Linked DNA regions of Stegostoma tigrinum. The protein of the gene in region 4 interacts with the protein of the main gene of each other region in a pairwise test. Links are inferred from orthologs where the notes say so. Each region holds a gene or a part of one and is shown on either strand. Other genes may lie near its edges. The genes, in order: kalrna, myelin transcription factor 1-like protein, KAT8 regulatory NSL complex subunit 1-like and cdc5l.

The links.
Region 1: the proteins of cdc5l (region 4) and kalrna interact in a two-hybrid assay, tested with the Homo sapiens proteins (2 studies listed by BioGRID and IntAct). The link is inferred for Stegostoma tigrinum from reciprocal best matches to the Homo sapiens genes CDC5L and KALRN.
Region 2: the proteins of cdc5l (region 4) and myelin transcription factor 1-like protein interact in a two-hybrid assay, tested with the Homo sapiens proteins (2 studies listed by BioGRID and IntAct). The link is inferred for Stegostoma tigrinum from reciprocal best matches to the Homo sapiens genes CDC5L and MYT1L.
Region 3: the proteins of cdc5l (region 4) and KAT8 regulatory NSL complex subunit 1-like interact in binary tests that used the Homo sapiens proteins (3 or more experiments, as listed by UniProt). The link is inferred for Stegostoma tigrinum from reciprocal best matches to the Homo sapiens genes CDC5L and KANSL1.

The regions. Positions count from the first base shown.
Region 1 is NC_081360.1:53,269,240-53,276,464, forward strand, and holds the start of kalrna (kalirin), read right to left. Parts: upstream 3,014-7,225; 5' UTR 2,438-3,013; coding exon 2,371-2,437; intron 1-2,370. UniProt on the Homo sapiens protein: Promotes the exchange of GDP by GTP. Activates specific Rho GTPase family members, thereby inducing various signaling mechanisms that regulate neuronal shape, growth, and plasticity, through their effects on the actin cytoskeleton.
Region 2 is NC_081357.1:110,908,426-110,915,370, reverse strand, and holds the start of myelin transcription factor 1-like protein, read left to right. Parts: upstream 1-3,937; 5' UTR 3,938-3,952; intron 3,953-3,964; exon of another isoform or gene 3,965-4,165; intron 4,166-5,624; exon of another isoform or gene 5,625-5,653; intron 5,654-6,495; exon of another isoform or gene 6,496-6,702; intron 6,703-6,845; exon of another isoform or gene 6,846-6,862; intron 6,863-6,871; exon of another isoform or gene 6,872-6,945. UniProt on the Homo sapiens protein: Transcription factor that plays a key role in neuronal differentiation by specifically repressing expression of non-neuronal genes during neuron differentiation.
Region 3 is NC_081384.1:40,721,221-40,729,046, reverse strand, and holds the start of KAT8 regulatory NSL complex subunit 1-like, read left to right. Parts: upstream 1-4,824; 5' UTR 4,825-5,259; exon of another isoform or gene 5,260-5,288; intron 5,289-7,826. UniProt on the Homo sapiens protein: Non-catalytic component of the NSL histone acetyltransferase complex, a multiprotein complex that mediates histone H4 acetylation at 'Lys-5'- and 'Lys-8' (H4K5ac and H4K8ac) at transcription start sites and promotes transcription initiation.
Region 4 is NC_081357.1:76,296,468-76,303,888, forward strand, and holds the start of cdc5l (cell division cycle 5-like protein), read right to left. Parts: upstream 3,018-7,421; 5' UTR 2,851-3,017; coding exon 2,806-2,850; intron 1-2,805. Other genes in the region: protein downstream neighbor of Son-like, read left to right, coding at 5,717-6,029.

The DNA.
Region 1 (7,225 bases), on a different chromosome or scaffold from region 4:
TTTCAAACTTTGATTGCTTTGTCCAATTTTTGAAAATTTTTTAAACAAAATAATGTTAATAAAAATGGATTCTGTAATAGTATAAATATTACAAGACTAACAAACTGTCTTAAAGTCAAAGAATTACTGAATTTAATTACTGATTATTACTTTTAATTATTAACAGCAATTACAAAAGGCACATTTGCTAAGTATGGCTATGCGCATTTGCTGACGGAAGCACATTAGTTCATGAGTTATTTAAACTTTAGCAATGCTGCATGTGTTATCACAACTCTGTATACAAGAATGGAGTCATCCTAAAGAAATATCAACATTACACTACCTATGTAACAGGTTGCCCAGTGTTCATCTATTATTCTTGTCAACATATCAAAAATTGAGATAGACCAGGCAAGAACATGGTTTCAATTTGTATTCAGTCATGGATTCTGAAATAGGTGTAACTCAACTATGTGTAGCATTAGTGTCTATCACACTACTGAAAGCTGCAAATGAACAATTTTTCTCCATAACTTTATGGTCAGCCATCAACAAGGGGTGTGACACTAGGGGTGTAACAAATCCACCCATTTGATTATTAAACTAACTGTGCTGAGAATGTGAGTGCATATGCAAACTTCCTAAACAGCCTATAATCACAAATATGACAGGCAAGTTTGTTTATGGCCTAAGTGGATACAAATCATGGAACTACAAAGGCAACTACCAACTAACAAGAATCTGCAAACTTCAAAGTCATCATTCAACATTGACATATCTTAATAAGATTTTCAGAACAATAGAACATGACAAGAGCAGCCCTGTACCTCCATGATGTCTGTTATTTTTAACCTTTGGCATGCTGGGGAGCAACAGCTGTGCATCCATCACCCACAAGCCAGCATGGATGAAGATAAAATGCACTCACTGTCAGTCAGTTGTCATGCCTGACCCTGGGCCATTATAAAAAGACATGCTAGCAAATGATGACTTGAGGCACAACATCAAATGTAAAATTAGATATTTTTGAAAAGGGCAGAATAATCCATTACAGCCTGGGAGTAGCTGTCATTTTTAAATCCTTGAAACATGGTGGTGGTGGTAGAGTTATGGCAAATCCTTGAGTTTTACTCCAAAAAAATCACAAATCCTTTGTACCTGCTGTTGATGTGTATGTTAATGTGGCTATTAAGACAATGATTATTACATATCATTACGATGGAAAAATAATCAGGTTTCAGTGGTATTAAAGTGAAAGAAGTATCGGCGGTTCATACTGTGATGTCTCACTACAGGCACTGTGAACATTAGCATGTTGTATAAAGAGAAAATAATTAGATCACTATAGTTATTTTATTCTTTCACGATGATGTGAACGTCGCTGGCAAGACCAGCATTTATTGCCCATCCCAAAATGTCCTTGAGAAGGTGGTTGTAAGCTGCCTGTAACCTTGTTCACTGAAAGGGGGTGTGGGAGGACCCAGTCTTTGAGTGCAGAAAGTTAGCTATCATATTTATTGATTACAAATTGTAATCCTTGACATTTTTTTGAATATAGCTGTAACATCTCTAAAAATGAGCAGTGAAGGCGGTCCTTACGCTCCATCAGCAAATCCTACAAGCCACACTGTTGGCGTGTGTTGAGAGCTAATATTGCAATGGGTATTTGAGATGTAGCTAGATGGCAACTTCCAGGCCAGTGAAAACGGTAGGGCACACATTCACGATAAAGCTAGCTAGGTTGTCTGTTGAAATAATTTAACTATAGTCAATATCGACTATTGACTATATAACTATAGTATCTTATTGTTTGAAATGCTATTAAGTGTATCTATCGCACATAATACCGTTCTCAGAAATAAGAATTTCAAATCAGTAAAATTTATACAGCGCTTAGTTTTACAAACAACATGAATTGGTTAAAATTCAAACGATGCAATCTTGATTTCCTAGGAGGCACAAAGCGCCATTGAGCTTTCGTTTCATTGCTACTAGCACTGCCTTAGCCTGGCAACTGAGGAGTGTCATTACAGCAAGACAACATCAGTGTTCCTTTCCATTTACAGTGATAAAATGTTATCATCATCGCAATTTCAAAAACATGACAGAGTAAATAAAAGGCCACTGCTGGTTATCTTCATCTCAGTTGTCAAAGACTTCATCCGAGATTTTCTTTTCCAGCATCAGATTTCCTGAAACAGTTTCATTGTTCAATGTACACACACGCATGAATACAGTGGGCGAGTCGGCCTGACAGCGGCCACACAAACTCGTGGATTGTGATAGTAATACTGGAGATGCTGCTTCATGCATTGAACGAGGGTGAAATCACTTGCCACCCCTCACAAAGCTCTTTGCCCCTCTCCTCCCCATTATATCCCCACTTACCTGTCTTGAAAAATGCTGCAATATCACCATCGTTGACGCATTCGTCTGCCCCTTCTGCGGAATTCATCGTTGACTCGATGCAGAAATACAACAAATTACATCCACTTCTACTGCAGACTAGGCTCCATATTCGGTGCTGTTAAGCAGTGGTGTTTTGGAAAAGGCTGTGCTCGACTAAAAGCCTCTGTATTTGTCCTCTATTGTTCAAAGGCGCCCTCCTCTCCCCAACAGCAGCGTCACAAGAGCAACAATAGACTACACATGGGCAAGCTCAATGCATTTTCACCAGCGGACAGTTCCGGAGCCCTGCCACTACTTGAAATATCCCCCGTAGAGGCCTTGCATCATTGACGAATTCAGTGAAATTAAATCCTTCCTTGCAGCCTACTTCAATGTAACCAGCTCACTGAAGCCTTCGAAGGAAGTGATCCCAATGACAAGAGGCCGGGAGACAGTTACACCGGCCCTCGGGCTGTCTGCATTTTGTTTATGGGTGTGCGGTTACAAGAAATTTGAAGGAAATGAGCATTGACAAAGACCGTTGAGAGGCAGCGGGTGTCAGTAAACAGATATTGGGGATCTGGGACAGCAAAGGGAGATCGGATTCTTGCTTGAACAAACTATTCACTCACTGAGCCGAATGGTTCAAATCTCATTTAACACAGATCACTGTCCCTGTGATTTGCAACTTCGCTGTGTGCCGAGGAGTGGCCGCATTGCGCCCTCTAGCGTTTGTCGGTGCACTGAACCACATCCGACTTTTCTCAATCTTGTGCACAATAAATACACCATACGCATTTAACAATTCAGACTAGAATATGATCCAAATTAAATTATTTTATGCAAAATGGCGGGGGTTAGTCTATATGCACAACTATAATGTGATTGAAAGTGATAGTAATCTGTGACTGACTTGCCCAATAAGGCAATCACAAAGTCATCCTGGCGTTACGTTGTATCAAACACATCAGGTTTGCTTCAAAGATTATTTTTGGGACTGTTCACCCATTCACGCTTCTCTGTAAAGCAGCGCAAATGCTCTCATTACAATATCAGTACATTTGCCAATATCGATCAAGGAAAAATATATTACTTTTTAGGTAATGTGTTTATCTAGCTTTACACCTTGTTATCTTACTTTATTAGGTACATCCCTTTAATAACTTTGAAGAATTGATTCAAAACAAAAGCCAAATCGCTGTAAAGATTGTAGTCTTTGTAACCGAGTTAATGAGTAGCTGGAATAACACATTCCCTAAAGACCCAAGCCCACCTGTTGTCCCCAAAATACTTCCTGTAACCATAGCCCATCTGCTTGACATCAGCCTCAGCAAGTGTGGATTCATTCATCACACCAATTTCGATTTCTCCTTGAATTTACGCGGAATGTCTCCATGTGATGTAAACAAGCGAAGGGACATAAATTTGTCAGTGATACACAGGGTTGTTTTATTATTTTCCACAATGCAACTGTATATTGAAAGCATTTGTCTTTTTTATTGTAGATCACAGCGGGTCAGACAGCATCCGTGGAGAGAGAGCAAGCTAAGGTTTCGAGTCTAGATGACTCATGGGAGGTGCTTGTTGTGCATTAGCTCAGGCTATCGATAATGAGTGGGATTTGACCTTGCCCACAGTGCAGCGGGTACAGAACTTACTCAGACTGACCACACTCAGGCTGATGGGCAAGGTCAGAGCGTAGGCAAATCATTTATGCGGTCACTGAGTTGCTAAGAAACGGCGTAAGCGCAGTAAAAAGGCATTGACCCATAACAGAGAAACATCAGTGCGATGCTTGAATTATGTGTTATTAATAAGCTGCCATTTAAATCAACGCCAGAAAAGAGCCGTCTAGACGTTTACAGGTATTGGTTACACATTTTATAAGAAGTTAATGGGCGTAATGTAGTTTAAATCATATTGGCTATGATGTCATGTTTTACATTGGCCCACCCTATATTAGTGACAAAATTGCAACCAAGCCCAAATACTTTTTTTTTATCAACTCGGTATTTCTCCAGTTTCCACTCTCCCTCGTCCCTGGGCTAATGATTGAAGCTCAGATGTACATCCATTCCGAGTTACAGCCCTTTTGACTATTCTTCACTTGTGGGTCTTAATACTGGCTGGTAAGTGATGGTTTAATTTTGGGGAGTTTAGTTTTCAACAGTGAAATATTAGTCAGCAATGACGCCTAGAAGTCCTGGCTAATTGCAGACCTGCAAGTTAACTCCCACCATTCCATAGGAACATATGAATAAGTAGCAGAAGTAGGCTATTGGTGGTCAGATCTGTTCCTCCATTTGATAGGCTCATGGCTGATCTGCTTATGGCCTTAACCCACTTCTCCTGCCTATCCTCAACTTCATCTCTGCCCTAAATGGGGATCCCGTCTTTTTCAGTTTTAAGTCTCTGCTTTCAACATCCATCCTGTCAAATCCTGTCAGGATGCTTCAGTAAGATCACCTCTCATTCTTCTAATGTCCAATGGATTCAGGCCCAACAAGTTTGACCTTTCTCAGTAAGGTAAACTCTTCATCCCAGGAATCAGTCAAATAAATATTCTTTGAACTGCCACAAATATAACTATGATCCTTCTTAAATAAGGAATCCAGAATTGTATCCAGTAACTGTGGCTATCGTTTAAGCAATACCCTGTACAACTGTAACACAACATCCGAAATTTTATATTCCATTCCCCTTGCAAGATACAATAATACCCCATTTTTCCAACTACCTTCCTAATCACTTATTGTCCATGAATATTAACTCTTAGTAATTCAAGTACCAGGACACCCACCTCTCTCTGTACCTTAACATTCTGAGATCTTCTCCAATTTAAATAACATTTTTTTATCCTTACTACTCAAGTGGACAAGTTCACATTTACACACATTATGTTCCACCCGCCAACATTTTTGCCCATTCATGTAACTTATGCATATCACTTAGTAGACTCCTTCTGCTATCTTCACAACTTTCCTTCCTACCTATATTTGTGCTGTCATCAAATTTAGCAAGCATTGGTTCAGTTTTATTTTCCAAGTTCTTTATAAATATTGAACATATTGAATACATGGTCGAAATTGAATCACCAATTCCTGTGGCACTGCACTCATTGTATTTTATTGACCCAAAAATGACTCCCCATTTCCAGTTAGCCAACAAATTCTCTATTCCTTTTTAATGAATGAAGGGTTTGTCATATGAGGAATGGTTGAAGATTCTGGGTCTGTACTCAAAGTGGGGGATCTCATTTGAAACTTACAGAATAGCAACAGGTATGGATAGAGTTGACATGGAGAAGATGTTTCCTCTAGTAGGAGAAATTTGGATCTGTGGGCACAGCCTCAGAGTGAAGGGATGGTCCTTTAGAATTGAGATGAGGAGGAATTTCTTTTGCAAGGAGGAGGTTAATCTATGGAATTCAATGCCATGGAAGGCAGTGGAGCCGAGTCATTGAGTGGTTTTTAAGACAAAGGTAAATAGATTCTTGATTGGTAACAGGATCAAGGGTTATGGAGAAGAGGCAGGAGAATAGGGTTGAGAAACATATCAGCTATGATTGAATGGTGGAACAGACTCATTGGGCTGAATGGCCTAATTCTGCTCCTATATCTTAACATGTTATTCTAACACCATAAACTCTTATTTCGTGTCGAAACATTTGATGGTACACCTTGTCAAATGCCTTCTGAAAATTTAAGTTTGCCACCTCCATAGGTTCCCCTTTATTTACTCAAAGGGGCGGCATGGTGGCTCAGTGGTTAGCACTGCAGCCTCACAGCGCCAGGGACCCAGGTTCGATTCCAGCCTCAGGTGACTGTCTGTGTGGAGTTTGCACGTTTTCCCTGTGTCTGCGTGGGTTTCCTCCGGGTGCTCCGGTTTCCTCCCACAGTCCAAAGATGTGCAGGCTAGGTGGATTGGCCATACTAAATTGCCCGTAGTGTTCAGGGGTGCGTGGGTTATAGAGGGATGGGTCTGGGTGGGATGCCTCAAGGGGCGGTGTGGACTTGTTGGGCCAAAGGGCCTGCTTCCACACTGTAAGGAATCTAATCTAATCTAATCTAAAGACTAATGAATGAATTGTATGTGAGTTTTCTTTCATAAAACCATGTCGATGCTACCTGATTGCATTGAGCTACTTTAATGATAGATTGCAGCATTCTTCCTAATGACAGTTGTTACGCGAACTGGCCTGTTATTTTCTGCTTCTGTTTCCATCCTTCCTTGATGGACAGGTTATATACATTATTTTCTAAAATTAGGCCTTTTCAGAATCTAGAGCATTTTGGAAAATTGAAACAAATACATCTACTATCTCAGCAACCACTCCTTTTAAGACCCTAATATGAAGTCCGTCAGAACCTGGGGACGTGTCAGCTTTTAGTTCAGAGTTTTCTCGGTATCCCTTCAATGGTGATTGTAATTTTAAGATCTTTCCTCACTTTCACGTCTTATGTAAACTTATTTCTGAGGTATTATTCCTATATTCTATAGTGAAGGTAGATACAAAATATCTGTTCAATACAACTGCCATTCCTTATTTTCCATTATTAACTTGCCAGGTTCACTGGGTAGAGAACCAGTATTCACTTTATTTATTTCTCTATTGTAAATACCTGTAAGAACACTTTTGATCTTACATTTCTAGTGAGCTTTTCCTCATACTCTAATTTCTCCCTCTATATTATTACTGTACTAATTGTTAAACATTCTATCCAATCTTGTGACCTGCTATGTATGCCCTATTCTCTGAAATTTTATACTGTATTTAACTTTCTAAATTAGGCATGGATTAGGTGGCTGTACCCTAGATACGTTCTTTCTCACTGGAAAGGATCTTTGCTGAGTT
Region 2 (6,945 bases), about 35 Mb from region 4:
TGTGCAGGTGAACCTCTGCTTAATATGGAAAGTCATCTTGGGGCCTGGGATAGGGGTGAGGGAGGAGGTGTGGAGGCAAGTGTAGCATTTCCTGCGGTTGCAGGGGAAGGTGCCGGGTGTGGTGGAGTTGAAGGGCAGTGTGGAGTGAACAAGGGAGTCACGGAGAGAGTGGTCTCTCCGGAAAGCAGACAAGGGTGGGGATGGAAAAATGTCTTGGGTGGTGGGGTCGGATTGTAGATGGAAGTATACAAGTTGTTTTATTTTCAGATATTTAATATTTTGAATTTTCTTTTAAGGCTGCACAATGTCAAACTTTGAAATCAGATCCATTAATTGAGCAAGTCTTCAAATCTCTGCATTATGTTTTAAGCTGTTCACAGAAAGGATTGGCCATTAAGATCCTATTTCTAATGTTCTGTAAATGTACTCCTTAATACAATGGGCTATGCATTTATTCAATCACCTGGGTGCCTAAACTTGTGTATGGCATATTGTCCACAACTATTGCTTGTATCTTTGACTTTGGACATTACCCAATGTTACGGCCCCCCAAAAAAACAGTTTTCCGAAAATTGCTTTTCCATAATCTTGCATTGTTAGGCTGAAAATACAGCCTCAGTGCTAAAAGAGCAGATGGCACTAACATTGCCGTATGCCACCTGAAGAAACCCACTTTTTCAAATGGCCCTCTATGCCTCTAATGGTACTAGTTGCAATGTTATCTCCAAAGGTATCCTATGTATGAACTCAGAGCTATATTACTGTTGCAGCATAAACCATTACTAATTTGAATATATTCTTACTTTGTTCAAGTATTTAAATGACTATTAGCCTCAATTATGAACAATTGGTCTCGTATAATAAAGTTGTGCAAAAAAGAAACAAAAAAGAAAGAAAAATGCACAAATTATTCAGCACTTCTCACAACCTCGGGATCTCAAAGTGCTACATTGAAAGTCAGCACTATTCTTTGAATGGTCACTATTATAGTGTAAGAAATGTGCAGTCAATTTGTACACAAATGTGTAATGGAAATATAATGAGATAATTTTTTTAGTGATGTTTGTTGAGGGAAAAGATATGGCTAGGAGATCTAGAAGGTAGAAGCCAGAAGCTAGAAGGAAGTAAGTTTTTCCGCAAATGTCCAAAGCCCTAGTTATGCCACATGTGAAGTACTGTATGTCATTATGGGAGCCATGATGTGGAAATGCCAGGTGGACAAAGCCAGAACATAGAACATAGAACAATACAGCGTAGAACAGGCCCTTTGGCCCTCGATGTTGCTCCAACCCATGAACTAATCTAAGCCCCTTCCCCTACACTATCCCATCATCATCCATATGCTTATCCAAGAAGTCACACGACACCAGGTTATAGTCCAACAGGTTTTGTTTGAAATCACAAGTGTTTGGCATGCTGTTCCTCCATCAGATGAAGTGACTTCACCTGGTGAAGGAGCAGCGCTTCAATAGCTTGTGATTTCAAATAAAACCTGTTGGACTATAACCTGGTGTAATGTGATTTCTGAAGTTATGGGATACATTGGAACGAGTACAGTCTAGATTTGTCAGAATGTCTTTGTTTTCATTTCTTCGGTCATGGCACGTGGGCGTTGCTGACTGACCAGCATTTATTGCCCATCCCTAGTTATCAGGGTTCTAACGAGAAATTACATAAACTAAGCTTGTATTTTAAACCTGGGATTGATAGAGTTTTGCCAGCCATGAGTATTGAGAGTTGTATATGGAGCTAAGGCAGGGACCTGAAGTTAGATTATGGAACAGCCATGGCATCATTGTTTGGGGAACAGGGTGAATTACTGTTGCTTATTTCTCTGTTCCCAGGACATAGAACTTGTGAAAACAGTCAGGGACTTGATTTAATGTCTCATCTGTAACACAGCATTGCAGACAGTGCAGCATTCCCTTGTTATAGTGTTCTGAACACATTAGATCATAGAAATGACAAGGGTGCATAATTTCAATGTCAACATTCAATATGGCAGAAAGAGACTATTCCACATGGTGGCAGGATTAATGACTATGTGAAATACCTTTAAGGTAAGGGGCGAAAGGTCTCAAAGGGATGTGCGGAAAATCCCCTTCACCCAAAGGGTTGGGAATGTGGAACTCACTGCTTGTAAGGATGGGAGAGGCAGAAAAACTTAAAACATCTAAGAATTATTTAGACCTCCACTTGCAATGCGAAGACAATGAAAACTTTGGACCAAGTGCTGGAAAATTTGACGAGAAATGTTAAGTGGTCGTTTTTGATTGGCACAGACTTGATGGGCTGAAGGACCTTTTTTCAGTCATGTACGTCTCCATGACTCTATGACATTTTTTCGCTGTGTTAATGGATTCCCCACTGAAACCCATCCAGTGGACAGAAGTGCATTGAGCCTCCTCGCCGCAGTGAAATTTATTAGGGTTGTACCTACATAACACTTCCACTGAGCAGCCTTTAAATTTTACTCATAACGTAGGAAGTGATTTTATTGAATGGAAAGAATGGGATTTTTCAATATCTGCTTGAGAAATATTTATTATGCATTTATATAAGGTGTGAAAGTATTGTTACAGTGGTCGAAAATATATAAACGCGAGTTTTTTGGGGCACGAACAAATTTCTCCAGCCGCACCATTGGATTTCACAGCGAGTGAGTTGGTTCCAGTTTGTGTTTCTGGAAGGGTTGCCGTGCTCCTCCCTTCATTTATTGTGTGAGATTAGGCTGCTCGCTGACAGTACGGGAGCAACAGCTTGCAGGATATGGTATTCACGTCAGTTTCAGGGAGAATATTGCACTGTGTGCCTCCCAATGCAGCCGAGTGCGTAGGGGTGCAGCTTCAATCTTCTCTGGACTGAAAAATCCAAGCTGCCATATACTTAAAAAAAACAGACTGTAAATGATTCCTATTCCTTGGTTCACAGAACATCCGATGCGGTGCCCAATCAGCTGAAAAACCTTCACAGACGTCAGTGGCTGTTTTGAACACTGGTGTCTGCAGCTGCTCGGAAAGTGGAGCCTCCATTACAGCGTCTCTATTGATTTCTGAATTAAAATGCACAAGAGCTCGCCGCAGAAGCACAAGCCCAGAAAACGGCAGGCACAGCTGAGGAGAAAAGTCACACGCCTTTTTTTCACCCTCTTCTCCCCCCCGCCCCCATTCTGTGTCACAAGGACTTTGCCTTCGGTTCAAAATTTGCTCGTATTTTTGTTTATTTGGAAGACCCCAGACACCTCTCAATTTGGTCTGCCTGTGTCAATCAGTCGAGGTGCCTTGCTGCAAGCGTGCACGCCAGTCAGGCAGTGAGGCGCAGTAGTTCCGCCCAGACGTGTGCCTTTGCCATTTTTATTTTAATCAGTTTGATCAGGATGTCTGCTGATTCATTTTGCAGGACAGCCCCTTGAGGACCGGGGTGGAAGCCTGACGCGAGCCACTGTTGCATCATTGCAGCATTCTATATCAGCGAGACTGCAGCAAGCACGGATTAATACCTAGTATTTAAATCAAAACCCACCCCGATACAGTAAACCATGCCCAACCCCCAGTCAAAAAGCCAAAAAAAAACAAAATGCAATTTGCAACAAAGAAAGCTTAGGAAATAACTGCTTCGATGAACAGGGCGATATTTTGTAAGAAAATCCATAATCATTCATTCACAAAAAAACCTAGAAAATTCAAAAATATAGATTAACTTGCCCGCTCTACCTGTTTCAGAGTGCGTGAATTTCAGAACTGACAGCCTTATTATGCAGCACCTCTTATTGATATTATTCTGCTCCCGGTTGCCATGGCCACATAGCAAGAGACATTCAATTTTCTGTGTTCCATCATCATTATCTATGAGGCCATCTGTTGTGGAAAATGAATTCAGTCTCATTTGCATGACTGATAAGCATTTTTTTTATCTATTTAACAGAAGGTCATATGCCGGGGATTTGAAGCTGGTAAAAAGATGTGAAAAAAGCCTATCGAGAGGATGAGTGGGAGTGTGTGCATTAGTGGATGTATGTGGAAGTATAACAGATCCCTTAGGCCTGGTAGCCTATCGTGCTGCATTTGTCATCCTTGCCAAGGCGACATTTTTACCTAGGCTTCTACACAGCGAAGAGTGTTGTTCCCTGCAGTCTGGTTCAAGTCACAGTATTTTGCTTATCGTGGTGGGTGTAGTTCAGTTCTCTCTTGTTTTTTGCTTCCCAATTTTTCTGGAGAGTCTTCTCACAATCAGATATTGCTGATGTGGGTTTGATGAGATTCCTTGCTTTTTTATTTGTATCTGTGCTGTGCTCTAGTAACTGCGTTGAATGAGAATGTAGGAATAACACAGGCAGCGTCGGCTGTGATCCAGTTATATTTGGGCAATGGTTTAAAAAAATGTAATGAAAAATGGTCTTTTCTGTGAAAATGCTGCATAATGCCCTTTGAGTTTATTTACTGAATCCAGTGGTCCTATCCTCAGTTGTGTTTGTTGGTTACTTAATGATAGCTGTGCACCCTATCCTTTTTGATACAATACTTAGACATCTGCCTTCCAATCTTGTGGTAAAACTTAGTCATTGATTGTTATTTGTTGAAGCAATATATTTGGTATGAAGTCAGGACACACACTTAAAAGTGTTTAGAAGTTGTTGTATTTGCATGTGCCTATAAGTATTTGCTGCCATATTTTCAAATACCTAGCTCAACTTATCGTAAGTAAAGAAAGCCGACTATGTTATTAAACAAATATCAAAACATATTCTGGGTTTCCATAAATTTTCAGACATGTAAAATAGAAAAGACAGAGGGCTTAGAATTAGAGGCAGCAGATTTAGGCCTTAAGCTGAAACTATCAAACTTGAGCTATATGATGGAACTTTCAAAATGCTGTTTTCAATTTGCCTCAATTCTAACTTCACAAAATTAGCTTTAATACTGCAAAGTTCTAAACAATTCTAAATCACAGTTAATATATAAAGGGTAAACTTTAAAATAGTTTAGAAGTTCTCTTAAAACTATACAAAATATAATTAGTTGGTCTTCATAAAAGTTTACCTTTAAATATTGCCACATCACATTGACATCGAGCACCATAATTCTCAGTGCCCCTTTTACACAGATATTATTACTTTGCAAATCTTTTATTGCTTTACTCTGGAGCTGCTTAATATTTTCAAGCATCTGTGTACTGCAGAAGCAAAAAAAATATTCGATTGCTTCTAAGCTTGGGAATCACTAGTGACAGCTTCGGGTTAAATAAAGTATGGTGCTACAGTTCGCCGTTTTCTTTTGTCTGTCATTTTTTTTGGAAAGTAACTTTTGATTTGTTCTAATTCCAACATTAATTTAACTAATGTGATAATGTAAGGACGTACGCTTATCTACTATTAATCTGCGAGCATTGCTCTTTGGGTTTATACATCAGTCTATTTGCCGGTTATTTTAAAACATAGCTTCAGTTGGAAAATGTGTCTGAATGGCCCGTCAGCACTAGGAGCTGTCCATGGCTGACGTCCTGAGCTCTGACTGACCCCCTACCGGCTAACAGGCAGACTGAGAATTACTCTTTGCTTTACCTTCGTAATGCGTCATGCCGATTTGTTAGCTCAGGATGTTTCGTTGTGTTGGGGGGCTTAATAATGCATCTAGCGTGCTCCTTCCTGTGACAGGTGCAGAATATATTTTGAACATTTTAGTGCTATTTTAGAATGCTGCTTGTCTGAAGTCTTAATTGTAAAACCAATTAAATCGTTTGTGTAACTTTACTATAAAACTTTTTAAGATCAAAGTAAGAAGTATTACATTGGATATCTGACAGTATTGATGAAGATACTAGCACAGAAAGATTAATATAGGAATTAACTTAGGATACAGCTCAGTGAATCATAATTTCCTAATTATATCTCATTTATGATTTAGAATCAATGCATGTGCAGTGCTTAAAATATTTTAAAAATCTCTTATGACGAATAACAAACTTAAGAGAATATTTAAATATTAAATATTTTGCGGTCAGCATACTGTTGTTGTACTGTTGTGTCACAAATATTTTTTATGATTTTTATAATTGGAGATACAATGTATTAGTTCACTTTGAGGTGGGATAGCTTTGGAAGTTTATGTTCCTAATTTGGTTGACAAAAGGAATTGTCAAATGTGTTTTCCAAGGTGCAAAGGAAATTAGTGCTCAGATGTTTAACCTGATAATTCATATACTTCAGCCAATTTTAAAAGAAGTAATGATGTGATGCAGATCACTCAGATTGTTACCCTAATCTGTACTATCTCTAAAGCTCAAAACTCTAATTTTCTTCTAGTAAGTTGGTAGTTTTTATTTTTGTTGACTTGATTGACATGCCATAAATATGAATTTAATGTATGGCCTTTTGCAAATTTTTGAGTTTTTAACTTTACATCACGAGGCTTTTTTTGTTCATATTTTCAGCTTTTCCCTATATTACATTATATACAGTACTGCACATAATACCAGGCACATACAGCTCCACAGAGTCAAAGACCCATGGGTACTGTATTAGTAACACAAGGTATACAACCCCAAACCATGGTCTAGTAGAATCGACCACAGAATTATTGACAGTGTTAGGAAACACTTGTCACGTATGCTTCTATTGTTCTGATATCCATGAAATTTTGGCCACACATTTTGATTTGGATGGAATACAACTTTTCCTGATGTGAGACTCTAGCTAAGGAAGAGGTAAGTCAGCAAGATGCTGGTGATTTTAAACTGCTGCAGAAGGATTGTCTCTTAAGGGAGCTCATATTCGATGCATGCTACATAGCTTGGCTTTCTGCAGTCTCTTGTCTGTCTGATGCCCTTAAGCTGAGGTTGTGTTTGATTCAGCAGCCATCACGGAGTATGTGCACTTACTCTTTTGCTCCCTTTTATTGTTGTTTCAAACTATGAATTTTCAGCTTCTTTCTCGGCCTGTTGATATTT
Region 3 (7,826 bases), on a different chromosome or scaffold from region 4:
ACCTACCTAAAAATGAGCTATCAACCTGGTGAAACTACCAAACAGGTTTACTTGCACACCAGACAGCATAAGTAGCAAGTGATAGACAGAGCTAAGTGATCCTACATCAGATCTAAACTCTGCAGTCCTGCAACATATAGTTGCGAATATTGGTGGACAATTAAACAACTCACTGGGGGAGGAGGCTCCACAATTATCCCCATCCTCAGTGATGGAAGACCCCAATGTATAAGTGTAAAAGATAAGGTTTAAGAATGTTCAGCAATCTTCAGCCAGAGGTACCGAGTGGGTGATCCATTGTAGCCTCCTCCGACTGTCCCCAGCATTTTAGATATTAGTCTTCAACCAATTTGATTCACTCCAATTCACATGATTCCTTCAGGGAATGGTCTTGTTGAAAATTGTAAGGATATATTCATTTTGGGCTTTTGTTTCGGATAATGGCCCTACACAATCTACTAGTAAACAAATGAATGTCTCCTCAAAAGCCAGTGTGGGAATCAGGGGAGCTGGTCTCATTACATGTTGCAGTTTAGTGACAAATCATCAAGAATGGCATGTTTTACAAAACTGCACCTCTCTATGTAAATTTGACCAGGTAAGAAAACCTGTTTATGAATAGCTTTCAGAGCCCCATATGTCCTGCCATGGGCATTTCACGTACCACTCAAAATCCCCCTATGATAGCTGAGTGATATCTCTACCTGATGAACAACGACACATTTTTCATCTGCAGGTCTGTGAGGGACTCCACTGCCTCATTCTCACTTTAAATAGCACTCTGGGTCTCCTTCAGCATCTACCTCAAGATGAATTGGCTGTGATAATTTATTTAATTCAGGATCTGCTTCTGAGTTTGAGATAGTGAATTCATTGTAGCTTCAAGGAGGTGGTCACACTGCAGGTTTAGTCATATAGATTGGTGACCACCAGGAAAGGTAGGCAAGTAATGCAAGGGTCTCCTGTGGCACCTCTCAAATAAGTTGGATACTGTTGGGGGGATAGCCTCTCAGGGGCAAAATAGCAGCAGCAGCCTGGTGTTTGGCACCACAACTGGATCTGCTGTAAAGATGGGTATGGCAAAGAATTATGATAGCGAACTGTATAGTCAAGGGCATAGACATTTCTGTAGCTGCAAACAAGATTCCAGGAATGGTGTGTTGCCTCCTTTGTGCCAGGGTCAAAGACATCCCAGAGCAATTCCTGGAAATTTTCAAAGGAAAGTGTGAGTAGCGAGAGGTTGTTGTATACATTGGAATCAATGATATAAGCACAAAAGGGGATGAGGTCCTACAGAGTGAATATAAGGAGTTAGGCAGGAGGTTAAAAAAACAGGGCCTCAAGAATAGTAATCTCTGGATTATTCCTGGTGCCAGGTGCTTGTGAGAGTAGGAGTAGGAGGATAGGGCAGATGAATGTGTGGCTGAGGACACAGGGCAGGGGGCAGAGATTCAGATTTTTGGATCATTTGGATCTCTTTCAAAACAGGAATGACTAACACAAGAGGGGCAGGTTGCACCATAATTGGAAGGTGACCAATTTGCTGGTGGGAGATTTGCGAGAGCTATTCAGGAGGGCATAAAATAGGCCGGCAGGGGTTGGGACCCTAAGCAGTAGTGAGAGAACAGAGATGGTTGAGGCTGGTACAGAAGCTAAAGAGATCAAGTTAAGTAGATAAGGCAGACAAGAGCACGACAGGGAATGAGGGAACTGCATTTATTTCAATGCAAGAGACCTGACAGGGAAAGCAGACCCGAAATGTCAACCTTCCTGCTCCTCTGATGCTGTTTGGCCTGGCTGTGTTCATCCAACTCTACACCTTGTTATCTCAGGGCATAGATGGGCACATGGGTCTGGATATTGTAACTATGACAGACACATGGCTGAGGGAGGGACAAGACTGGCAGCTCTGTTCTGGGCTGCAGATAATGTAGGAAAGAAAGAAAGGGAGATAAGAGAGGGGGAGTGGCATTTTTAGGGAAAATATCATGACACTTCTTAGACAGGATATTCCTGAGGGATTGTCCAATGAAAGTTATGTGAGTGGAACTGAGAAATAAGAAGGTGGAGATCACTGTAATGAGATTGTACTGTAACCACCACACCCACCCCCAACAGTCAGAAATTGAGGAGCAAATATGTGGGGAGATCACTGACAGGTGTAAGAATAATAGTGCTGTAATAGTGAGGGATTTTAACTTTTCAAACATTGACTGATATAGTGATAAGGGCTTGAATGGGGAAGATTTTGAAAACTTAATCAATATGTAGATGACCATACAACACAAGGTGCAAAACTTGGCCTCCTTTGGGAAATAAGGCAGGGCTAGTGGCTGATATGTTAACAGGGAAACACTTTGAGACCAGTGACCATAATTCTATTAGTTTTATTTTTGTTATAGAAAAGGATAGGCCTGATTCACATATTAAAGTTGTAAATTGGGGCAAGGTCAATTTTGATATATTAGACAGGAACTTTCAAAAGTTGATCGGGGAGGTCCGTTCATAGGTGAAGGGCTATCTGACAGGTGGGAGGTTTTCAAAAGTGAGACAACAAGAGTTCAGAGCCAGCATGTTCCTGTTGGTATGAAGGGCAAGGCTGGTAGGGGTAGGGATAGGGAACACTGGATGATTAGAGATATCAAGATTCTGCTCATGAAAAAGAAGGAGGCATATGTCAGGTATAGTCAGCTGACACCAAGTGAATCTGTGGAAGACTATGTAGCAGTACATTTAAGAGGGAAATCAGAATGACAAAAAGGGACGTCATTGTAGATTGGGTAAAGGAGAATGCAAAGACATTCTATAAGTATACAAATAAGTAACAAAGCAGAGAAGAAGGCCCCCTAAAATTCAACAGGCTGTGTATGCATAAAGACACGGGAAATGGATGAGATCCTCACCACATATTGCACTGCCATATTTACTGTGGATAAAGATATGGAAGCTCGGGAACTCGGGGATGTAAACAGTGATGTCTTGAAAAAAGGTCCAGCATTACAGAAGAGGAGATGCTGGAGATCTTAAAATGTATAAAGGTAAATAAATCCCTGGGACCTCATCAAGTACATTACGTTAAATTAGATTCCCTACAGTGAGGAAACAGTCCCTTTGGCCCAACAAGTCCACACCGACCCTTGAAGCATCCCACCCAGACCCATCCCCCTATGACCCACACACTTCTGAACACTACGGGCAATTTGGCATGGCCAATCCACCTAACCTGCACATCTTTGGACTGTGGGAGGAAACCGGAGCACCCGGAGGAAACCCACGCAGACACGGGGAGAATGTGCAAACTCCAAACAGACAGTTACCCGAGGTTGGAATCGAATCTGTGTCCCTGGTGCTGTGAGGCTGCAGTGCTAACCACTGAGCCACCGTGCCACCCTCAGGACATTGTGAGAAACTTGGGAAGAAATTGCAGAGTCCATAGCAGAGATCTTTGTACCATCAACAGCCATTGGTGAGGTGCTGGAAGACTGAAGGTTGGTTAACGTGCTACTAGTTGAACAGTAACTATAATAACTAGTTACAAAGGCTGCAAGGAAAATCCAGTGAACTGTAGACTGGTGAGCCTCACGTCAGTGGTGGGTAAGGGATTTTGAGAGAAGGATCTACATGCGTACGTAAAACCGAGACTAGATTACCGAGGAAGATGCTGGATAGGCTAGGACTTTTTTTTCCCCCTGAAGTGTAGGAGGCTGAGGAGTAAGTTCGTCGAGATCATAGAAGCGTGGGGCGCATAGATACGGTGAATAGTACCAAGTACCCTCTGAATTCTTTCTCTGCTAATCTGACTATCCCAATCTACATAAAAATTAAACTGACCTCAAAGGCTAAAGTCACTAAAGGTTGGTACAATGCGTTTGTTACTTACCCTTATTATTTCCGGATTTATTCAGTGCAAACGTATCGCTACTGTTAGATTGCCTATAGACCATTCCGCCCAGTGGCTTCTTTTCCCCTTGTTTTCTTTTAACCTGAACCTATACTGATTCTACGCACAGAAAAAGAATAGACAAAAAGTTCAGAGGGGAATAGAAGAGGAAAAACGAACTTTAAGTTTAAAAGAAAAATCAGGAACAAACTTGAAGACCGACTATCGGCTTAAGGTTCACCATCAGGGCTCTATAGTTAAACCTTCAGTTGTGATCATGAGAGTTGTGTGCCTGCTCGAATATCACGTTTGTCGAGATCTTTTGTGTAAAGGAGAAATTTGCCTCGCTTTTCCAAAAACACTCACAAAAGGTCATCATCACTCTTGGATAGAGACAAGAACATTCTCTTGGTTGAGATAGCAAGAATTGCAGATTCTGGAGACGGTGGTAACAAGGTGTAGAGCTGGTGAATCACAGCGGGCCAGGCAGCATCACAGGAGCAGGAAAGTTGACCTTTCTGGTCGGGACCCTTCTTCGGAAACAGTCTCTTAGTGCTCAGTGATAAAAAATAATGGGAACAGCAGAGGCTGGAGAAAGTCCCTGGGCCCGCAACCCTACCCATATCACCATAGGTCCGCCCCTGCACATGTAGCTCCGCCCTAGAGCTTTTGGCCTCGCCCTTGGGCAAGTTGTTCCGCCCCGGTGTCGTTGCGAATGCCCTTGACCACGTAGCCTCGCCTCTGAGCATGCAGCACCCCATTATACTTGTAGCCCCGCCCCTGATCTTGTGACTACGCCCCTGGCAGTGTAGCCCCGCCCCAAACAACGTCATCCTGTCTCGCCCCGGGCATGTAGCCCCGCCCCTGGGCTTGTGGGTCCGACCCTAGCTGTGTAGCCCCGCCTCCTGGACATGTAGCCCCGCCCCCTTGGAGAGGCCCTTCTCCTCCGGAAAGCCCTCGATCTTCGGAAGCGCGCCCCGGGCCGTAGAGGCAGTTTGGCCTTGTCTTGGCCTCACTTTGGGCCCCGACTCCTACCGCAGACCTTCACCCTTTCTTTCCTCGGCTGCATTTCTGTGATCGGGTTCCTCCCCCAGCTCTCGGCTGGTGCTGTCACTGGGGACAGGATGAGAGCTGGGACAGGGGACCGGCTTAGGAGGTTGTCGGTGCTGGAGCATCCTCGGAGCTCAAGAGTTTGTGAGGCCGGCGCTCGCCCTCTCCTCACCCATTCGATCTTCACCGATCCGGCGGCGGGGGCTGAGGGGAATCAATGTGTGTGGATGAGGCTTGGGAAAACGGGTGTGGACGTTATAGAGAGGAGAGAGACGACCAAACGAAGATGTGGTGATGGAGAAATGTGTCCTTCCACGATGATGAATGAGGTAGGGTTGAGGATCAAGGATAGGGAGAGGTGAGTGGAAGATCGGGATGGCTGAAAGCGTGTGATGGTGACCGAATGGCACTGGTGTTTGGGATCACTGTTGTTGAATATCAGATGTTGAGTTTGGGTATGTGTGGAGCAGGGTGGGTGCAAATCTGTGACCCTCTCAGTAAACATTCTTGTGGGGATGAGGACCATAAAATGAGAGTCTCAAAGTTGACGTAAAATTCAGACATGCTTGGGTCTCAAACTGGAATCTTCAGATCTGAAACTAATTGCATTGATATCAGGGATGAATGAACATTTGTCGATAAGAAATTAGATTAACGTGTTTTATAGTAGATAGGAGATTTTTCATTCTTTTTAATTAATAGAATTTGGCTGTCACCAACCAGCACTTATTACCCAGCTATACCTGCCCTTGAAAGTTGGTGTTGAGTTGCCTTCTTGCACTATCACAAACTATTTGCTTTATGTACTCATATAATGCCATAAGGGATGGAACTTTAGGGATTTTAATCCAGTGACATTGAAGGAATGACAATATAGTTCCAAGTCAGGATAGTGAATGGCTTGGAGGGGAATATGCAAGTGGTGGTGATCCCAACTATGCTGCCTTTGCCCTTCTAGATGATAGTGTTATTGGGTTTGGAAGGTGCTATTGGAGGATATTTGGTGAATTTCTGTAGTAAATGTTGTAGATAATATGCACAGTTGGTGGTGTGGGGAATGGATGTTTGTGAATGCGGTGTCATTCAAGTGGGTTATTTTGTCCTGGATGGTGTTACCTTCATGGCTGTTGTTGGAGCTCCACTCATCCAAGCAAGTGGGGATAATCCATTACATTCCCGATTTGTGCCTTGTAGATGCCTAGTAGATGATGGAGAGAGAGATAACAAGCTGTGGAGCTGGATGAATACAGCAGGCCAAGCAGCATCAGAGGAGCAGGAAGGCTGACATTTCGGGCCTAAACACTTCTTCAGAAATGGGGCAGGAAAGGGGGTTCTGAAATAAATAGGGAGAGAGGGAGAGGCAGATAGAAGATGGATAGAGGAGAAAATAGGTGGAGAGGAGACAGACAAGTCAAAGAGGCAGGGTTGGAGCCAGTAAAGGTGAGTGTCGGTGGGGAGTTAGAGAGGGGATAGGTCAGCCCAGGGAGGACGGACAGGTCAAGGGGTGGATGAGGTTAGTAGGTAGGAGATGGGTATGGGTCTTGAGGTGGGAAGAGGGCATAGGTGGGTGGAAGGACAGGATAGGAAGGCAGGGACAAGCTGGGCTGGTTTTGGGATGCAGTAGGGAGAGTGGAGATTTTGAAGCTTATGAAGTCCACATTGATATCTCTGGGCTACAGGGTTCCCAAGCAAAATATGAGGTGCTGTTCCTGCAAACTTCGGGTGGCATCATTGTGGCACTGCAGGAGGTCCAGGAAGGACATGTCGTCAAAAGATTGGGAGGGTGAGTTGAATTGGATCATGACTGGGAGGTGCAGTTGGTGAGTGCAAACTGAGTGTAGATGTCCCGCAAAGCAGTTCCCAAGCCTCCGTTTGGTTTTCCCAATGTAGAGGAGGCCACATCAGGCACAGCAGATACAGCATACCACATTAGCAGATGTGCAGGTGAACATCTGCTTGATGTGGAAGGTCTTCTCGGGCCTGGGATGGGGCTGAGGGGCGACGTGTAGGGGCAGGTGCAGCACTTCCTGCAGTTGCAGGGAAAAGTGCCGGGTGTGATGGGGCTGGAGGGGAGTGTGGAGTGGATAAGGAGTCACGGAGAGAGTGGTCCCTCCAGAAAGCAGATAAGCGTGGGGAGGGAAAATGTCTTTGGTGGTGGGGTCGGATTACAGATGGCGGAAGCGTTGGAGGATGATGCGTGGGTTGGGTGGTACGTGAGGACGAGGGGAATTCTTTTTTTAGTTGTTATTGCGAGGATGGGGTGTGAGGGATGAGTTGTGGGAAATGTGGGAGACACGGTCAAGGGCGTTCTTGACCACTGAGGAGGTGAAGTTGTGGTCCTTATAAAACGAGGACATCTGAGATATTCGAGAGTGGAATGTCTCATTCCTGGGAGCAGATGCAGCAGAGGCGAAGGAATTGGGAATAGGGGATGGCATTTTTGCAGGGAGATGGGTGGGAGGAGGTGTATTTTAGGTAGCTGTGCGAGTCAGTGGGCTTGAAATGGGTATCAGTTTCCAGGTGATTGCCAGAGATGGAAACAAAAAGGCCCAGAAAGGAGAGAGAGGTATCAGAGATGGTCCAGATGAATGTAAGGTTGGGGTGGAAGGTTTTGGTGAAATGGATGAACTGTTCGAACTCCTCGTGGGAGCACGAGGCGGCGCCGATATAGTCATTGATGTAATGGAGGAAGAGATGGGGTTTAGGGCCAGTATAGCTACGGAAGAGGGGTTGTTCCTCATAACCTACAAAGAGGCAGGCATAGCTTGGGCCCATGTGGGAATCCATGGCCACCCCCTTAGTCTGTAGGAAGTGGGAGGAATTGAAAGAGAAGTTGTTAAGGGTGAGGATGAGTTCACCTAAGCAGATGAGGCTGTCAGTAGAGTGGGACTGGTCG
Region 4 (7,421 bases):
GTGCTGTGTGGAGCCCTTCGCTGTCTCCATCAGGAAGGACGTGAGCCTGAAGGGCGTGACTATCCCAGGCAGCGGAGGCCTTCAGGTCAAGACCTCCCTGTACATGGACAATGTCGCCGTCTTCTGCACCGATCGTCGCTCGGTGAGTAGGCTGTTGGACATCTGCGGCCAGTTTGAACTGGCCTCGGGTGCCAAAGTCAATAGGGGTAAGAGCGAGGTCACGTTCTTCGGGAACTGGGATGACCGCTCCTTCATCCCCTTCACTGTCAGGACGGACTACCTGAAGATGCTGGGTGTTTGGTTTGGTGGAGCTGGGGCGTGCACTAAGACTTGGGAGGAGCGTATCACCAAATTGAAGCAGAAGCTGGGCAGGTGGACGCTCCGGTCCCTCTCCACCGCGGGTAAGAACCCGGTTGTCAGGTGCGAGGGGCTTTCGGCACTGTTGTATGTGGCGCAGGCCTGGCCTATTCCCTGGACCTGCGCCGCTGCAGTCACCCGGGCCATCTTCCACTTCATTTGGGGGTCGAGGATGGACCGGGTCCGCAGGGACACCATGTACAAAGACCTGGGAAATGGGGGGGAAAGGGCGTACCGAACGCCACCCTCGCCCTGACGGCTACCTTTGTGCATAGATCCTCAGTACGCAAACACCAAATGTCACTACTTACTGAGGTTCTACCTGTCCCCAGTATTGCGAAGGATGGGCCTGGCCTCGTTGCCGCGGAACGCTCCGAGTAGTTGGACTGTTCTGTACCACCTGTCCTACGTGGAGAAATTTTTGAAAGGAAACACCTTTGACCACAAGGCCGTCAGGCAGTGGTCAGCACGTAGTATCTTCGAGACCCTTTGGGAAAAGGAGAGGGTGGATCCCATCGTGTGGTTCCCCACGCAGGCTGCCAAAGTCGTTTGGCAGAATGCCTCATCGCCAGAACTTTCAAACAAGTACAAGGACATTGCTTGGCTGGCGGTGAGAGGGGCTCTGCCAGTGAGATCCTTTATGCATGCCCGGAATCTCTGCGTCACCGCACGCTGCCCTCGAGGTGGCTGCGGCGGGGATGAGTCTGTTGATCACCTCCTTCTGGCGTGTGCCTATGCGCAGGAGGTCTGGAGGGGGATGCAGTGGTATTTGTCGAGGTTCGTCCCGAGCAGCTCCGTGACGCAGGACTCCATGCTATACGGGCTGTTTCCTGGGACGCACACCGAGACTAACATCAACTGCGCCTGGAGGACCATCAATGCGGTGAAAGACGCTCTTTGGTCTGCCAGCTGAAAGAACTGACTCTGACCGAATGTTGCAGACTGGCGCACTCTAAGGTCTAGGACTACGTGCTGAGGGATGCGCTAAAGCTTGGGGCAGCCGCCGCCAAGGCGCGGTGGGGAAAGACCACGGTATGAAACCCCTCGTCCAGAATAGAAAAAAGGGCCCTATCTGGTACCTGGGCCCAGCTGGCGCCTTCCCCAACTGGTCAGGGGGCCAACTGGGACTGTGCAGGGTGACAACTGCCGGGGTATTTTCTTTGCTTTGTTTTTTTTCCTTTTAGTTGATGTATGTACCCCCTGGGTAACCCAGAGCGGCTTGCATGACAGGGTAGGTGTATAAATATGTTTTATTTTTTGTACATCTTATGAATAAAGTATATTTTTTCAAATAAAACAAAAGTGACGAAACGTCTGAAAACTAACCTTCCAGCTCAGCGAGCAATCTCACATCCAGAACCTCAACCTGAGCTACAAATCTTCTCAAAACTCGCTACAACCTTTCCGTATCTGCCGTCAAGTCCTCTAAGAATGATTTTGTTTCAATAAATGTCACGTCTCATTCTTCTAAATTCCAGTGAGTACAAACCCAACTTTATTCAACTTCTCCTCATAAGACATTCCGTCCATATCCAGTATCAGCCTACAAAACCTTCTCCATATTGTTTCCAATGCTAATATATCTTTCCTAACGATAACGTCACAACATTCTAGTTGCGGTGAATATTTCTAGCAGAACACCCACACTTTTATAATCCATTCCCTTTGGAATTTAAAAAAAAATCAACATTCTATTCGCCTTCACTATTATCCACCCGAACATGGATGCTAACTTTTTGAGATTCATGGATTTTATAATTCAATTGATCATCCTGGATTTAGAACTCTAACCGTCAGTGTTTTCTTTAGCATTATGATGTGTCAGTGCAAGGAAGTAAAACTTAACTTTTGGCACCCATTTTCAAGTATTCACAGATCACACAGATTCGAAGAACATGCAGGTGTGTGAAAAAGAACTTCAAGCCGCACCACCGCGCAAGATGAAATGTAATAAAGGTAAAAATCGCCGTTGTCTTAGCAGACCATAGGGCAGTGCTTTTATTAGAAGACGATTGGTGGTAGTTCATCTGCAGGTCACCATACCTCAGGTGAGGGGGAAGAAATTGAGAAAAGTTACCATTGAAGGACTTAAGTTGATGCGGAAATTGGTTTGGTGCACAGCAAAGGAGTCAGTGATTCCAAGGTCAATTTCTGACCGTTTGAAAAACTGTCCCTAAAAGAGCGACATTAATCAGTTTCTAAATCACGAGAAATTTTTACTGCATCAAGCCGCCAACTAACAAGAAACCCAAGAACTTGGTGTAATTTTGACCGTGGCAAGGGAAAAAGACGATCAAAATACTTGACGTCGCACGGTGAAAACAGTGAAATGCAACCGGGAAATGCTAGCATCAGCTCGGACAAGGGGGAAGGAAACCCCGTCTCTGGGCCCGGCGGAAAGGGGTAGACCCCAGTCTCCGGGCCTGTCACACAGGCCTCACCACTCACCTCCGTGTTCCTCCAGACACCTCCTTTAATCATTATCCGCGGCATCCTGGCAGTCAGCGACTGGTCCGAGGGAATCCTCGGCAGCTGCAAACGGTTAGGAAGGAGCTCAGTTATTTAACCAAACTTGAACCCAACTCCGGTGATAAACCTCCGGCCCTAGGTGCAGCAACGGGCGATGAGGTGACAAGGACAACACAGCGCTCCCAAGGTGGCCCGCTGCCGCCACCAAGAGCGCCGCCAAGCCTGGCTGACTGACACTGCACCCATTCCACTCCTCTCAACTTTACACCGGACAGATCACTTTGCAACGGCATCATCGTAAATAAACAAATCTTTGATTGTGGGTAGTCATGCAACGTGGGAAAACGACCGTTCGATCCAACTCGTCCATGCCGACTAGTTTTCCCAAACTAATCTACCCTAATTTCCCTGCGTTTGACCCATATCCTTTTACTACTCACGTAGCTGTCAAAATGTCTTATAAATGTAACTGTATAAGTGCATCTACCACTACTTCTGGCAATTAATTCCATTCATGCACCATCCTCTGTGTAAAGACATTATCCCTCCGTCCCTTTGAAGTCTTCTCCTTCTCACCTAGAACCAATGCCCTCAAAGTTGAGAGGGGAACGATTTAAAAGGGACTTGTGGGCAACTTTTTCATACTGAGGCTGCTTAGTCAAGATTGGTGTTTCTGTGAAGGAAGAGCATAAATTTCTGCTGAGGCAGGTTTATTGAAAGGGTTCTCTTACCAAGCTCCAGGGTAGTTCCTGGCAGCTTGGTCTAAGTCACTGCGGCCTCAGTGGTATAGAGGAACGCTGACCTTCATTGCTCTGACAGCGTAAGTGCTCTGCTCTACTTTCTGCTACCTTAAATTCAATCACTCTGCTACTACACTGACTGTGCAACAAGAGTCAAGTTCCATCACTTTTACTATAGCCTTCAACATCTTCACTCATTCATCCTTCTTTCCCCTAACCTCCCACAGCATTAAATATGCATGGCTTCTGCTCTACCTGTGCACTTGCCCAGGAGGCCTCATCACCTATTGTCCACCTGTCCCAGCAGTATTAGTCATGCTGATACACATCCACATTTTGGCTGAAAGAAGTTTCCTCAAATCCCTTCTAAATCTCCTGTCCCTTACCTTAAATTTATTGTCCATCTAACAAGGGGAGAAGCTTCTTTGAACCAACTGTATCTATGCCTCTTGCAATTTTGTACACCTCAATCAGGTCCCCTCTCAGCCTTCTCTACTCTCAGGAAAATATCTCCAGCCTTCTCAGTCTCTCTTCATAGCTAAATTAATCCAGTCCAGGTAACATCCTGTTGAATCTCTTCCTAGAATCATAGGATATAATCATAAATCCTTACAGTGTGGAAGCACATCATTCGGCGCATCAAGTCCATGCTAACACTCTGAAGAGCATTGCAGCCCTCTACCCTATCTCTGTAACCCTGCAATTCCCCCAGCTAATCCATCTAGCCTGCACATCCTGGAGAGTATGGGCAATTCAGCATGACCAATCCACTTAACTTGCACATCTTTGGACTGTGGGAGGAAACTGGAGCGCCAAGAGGGAACTCATGCAGATATAAGAAAATGTGCAAACTCCACACAGACAATCACCAAATTCTAGAATCAAACCTGGGCCCCTGGTACTGCGAGGCAGTAATGCTAACCACTGAGCCACCGTACCATCTCAGCTCTCAGTCATGTTCAACCCAGAGCTCTTCCTCAGAACTGGTCCTTTCGAGTGTATAATTCACTGCCACCTTACTTCCAGATATGCCCATTTTGATGAAGTTCTGCTCTTCTCGCCATCAGGCCTTCGCTTTTAATCTTTCAGCCTTAGCATGTTCATTGCTTTCTGTCTCCATTTCTGAAGAATGGTCAAACCAGAATCAAAACATTAACTCAGTTTCTATTTCCACAGATGTCGCTAGACATGCTGAGTTTCTCCAGCATTCTCTATTTGTTCCATTTTCCTCCAGTGCAGACTTGCCATTTTTAATAATATTTTTCATGAACCTTCAACACAAGTTTTCTCTGGTACAATCATATTCCTCCTACAGTCTGGTGACCAGAACTGTACCCACTACTTCATCTGTGACCTAATATCTTATACACAGCAACCATTACTTCCCTCCTCTTGTACTCAATGTCTCAACTAATAAAGCAAGTCTCCCTTAAATCTTCTAAAGCACCATATCCACCTGTCCTGCGGCCTTCAAATAACTGTGGTTATGCACACAAAATTCTTCTGATTCTCTGTACTTCTTAAGGCTCTACCATTCAACATGTACTCCCTCGCCTTGTTAGTCCTCTTAAAATGTATCACACCTCACTTTTCATGGTTAAATTCCTTTTGCCACTGTTCAGCCCATCTTGCCAGCCTGTCTAACAACTGTATCAACCATTAAAGTTTCTTGACACCTGGTCACTGGACTCAAAACGTTAAGACTTTTGGTTTTTCTTTAGATGTTGCTAGAATTGTTGAGCTTCTCCAGCAATTTCTATCTTTATGTGTCTCAGATCTCCAGCATCTTATGTTCTCTGTTTTACATTAACTTTTCATTTCCATCCAATGCTGCCTAAATCATGTTCCCCTTTTTAGTGTATGTGTTTCCCTGAAACTCTTCGTGTTTTTGCACGTCGACTGGGGTAAATTTTAAAGTTGTGTGGGTCATAGTGGTGAGATGAACTTCAGACAGTTTTGGGGTGGGGGGGTGGTAGGTGGAAGAAAACTACGAGTCCCATGATGCCCTGGAATGTTTGGTGGGGGAGGTTGGTGTGAGGACGGCGACGCAGTGCGCATGTTCCGCCGGCGTTGCCGCGGTGCAGGCTGGGATGTGAGTTCCACACTGACCCTCCTCCCCTTCCCCAGACCCAGGCCAGTTCCCGGTGACCATGGTGGGCACCTACTGTTGTGTGCCGGGCTGCTTCAACAACACACTCAAGAACAAGGAGCTCTCCTTTCACGTCTTCCCCAAGGACGAGACGCTGCGCGGCGTTTGGATCAGAAACCTGTCGCGCTTGGACGAGAGAAAATTCAGCGTGTGGCAGCCCAAAACCCATCACAAAGTCTGCGACGCCCACTTTGCTGGAGGCAAGAAGACCTACATGAACAATGTGCCCATCGTCTTCCCCGTGAAGGTCGAGAGGTCCCGCAAGAAGGAGCAGGCCAGGCTCCTGCTGCTGGGTGCCAAGATTACCCCACCAGGTACACTCCACACATGCAGCAGCAGATGGACATACCCCGCCTCTAGTGGTCAGGTCAAAAGTTTATAATCCCTGTTGAATTTAGCGTCGAAAATGTCAGAAACGTTGAAAATTCTGATCGTTTTATTTGTGGATAAAAAGTAATCCGCTTAATTTTAGGGAGATTTTAGCGGTCGGGTCTGTATCTTAAACAGAATTCGCTCCCTTGTAAATCAATTACACAGACGTGGAGATTTCCATTTGAAGTGCCTGAGCTGCAGTCTGTTGTTCACAGTGTAATCTGAACTCTTCAACTGTGTTACTGTTATATAATTCGCTAGTTTTTATTGAGTATTTCGTGATGACGTTGTGTTTTTCAAATGGGTCCTGGATATAGCTGGTTTAATTTTAGCTTCTTCCATCGTGCCGTTCCCTACTGAGAAAACAGGAAAGTAATAACGTGTGAAGCTGGATGAACACAGGCCAAGCAGCATCTCAGGAGCATTGACACTTGATGACTGGGAAATATTTGAGTGCTAATCTGGAATGCTTTCCTTTTTTTTCGACGTCCGTTAGTGGGTCGAGCAAAAAATCTCATAAGAGGCATGGCGAAAAAAAAGGAAGATCACCTCACCCCACCCCCACCATGGCATATCCTTCGCAGAAATTCCCCTAAGGATACTCTCAGCTAGGTTGCACATTCTGCAGTAATGGCACAATGCAGTGCAACGTACTGCCCTAGTTATTTAACGAAGATAGTGAGGTGGAGTTTGAAATGAAAAAAAGCCATTCTTCCAGTGGCAGCATAGTCTGCACTGTGACAGACCTATTAGTCAGCACTGATATTCATGAGCTGTTATACAAAGCTTACTGAGTATAGCAGAGTTCAATGCTATTGGCGTTTTAAAACTATTAACAACCATAGTTTTTTTTTATCTGATTTGAATGTCTTTCTTATAAATCTGTCTACCCTGTACGAAATTCTAATGTGGTTCCAGATGTTTTGGCCAAATATCAGCCAACGTGTACTCTGGCTTAATTGTCAGATTAGTTTCTAGGAATATTTCCTCTACTTTTATTATGGCATGTTATTTGACAAGCATAGTGGAACTAATTCAGAATTATCATGGAAACAGCATCAAGAAACATTGTATCCAATTAAGATTGATCAGAAAATGAAATTTGCCTTTAAGTGTATGGTGGCATTGTGGTTTTGCAATTAGATTAGTATTCCAGTTCTACAGGCATCAATTTCATTCCCATTGCTGTAAATGGGGAATTCAAATTTAATTCATAAATTAAATTTTAAAAGAAGGAATTAAAAGCTTATTAGTAATGGTGACAACCAAAGCTGCTGTTTTGTGTGAAATCCATCTGGTTTACTAATGTGCTTTAGGGAAGAACGTCTTCTGTC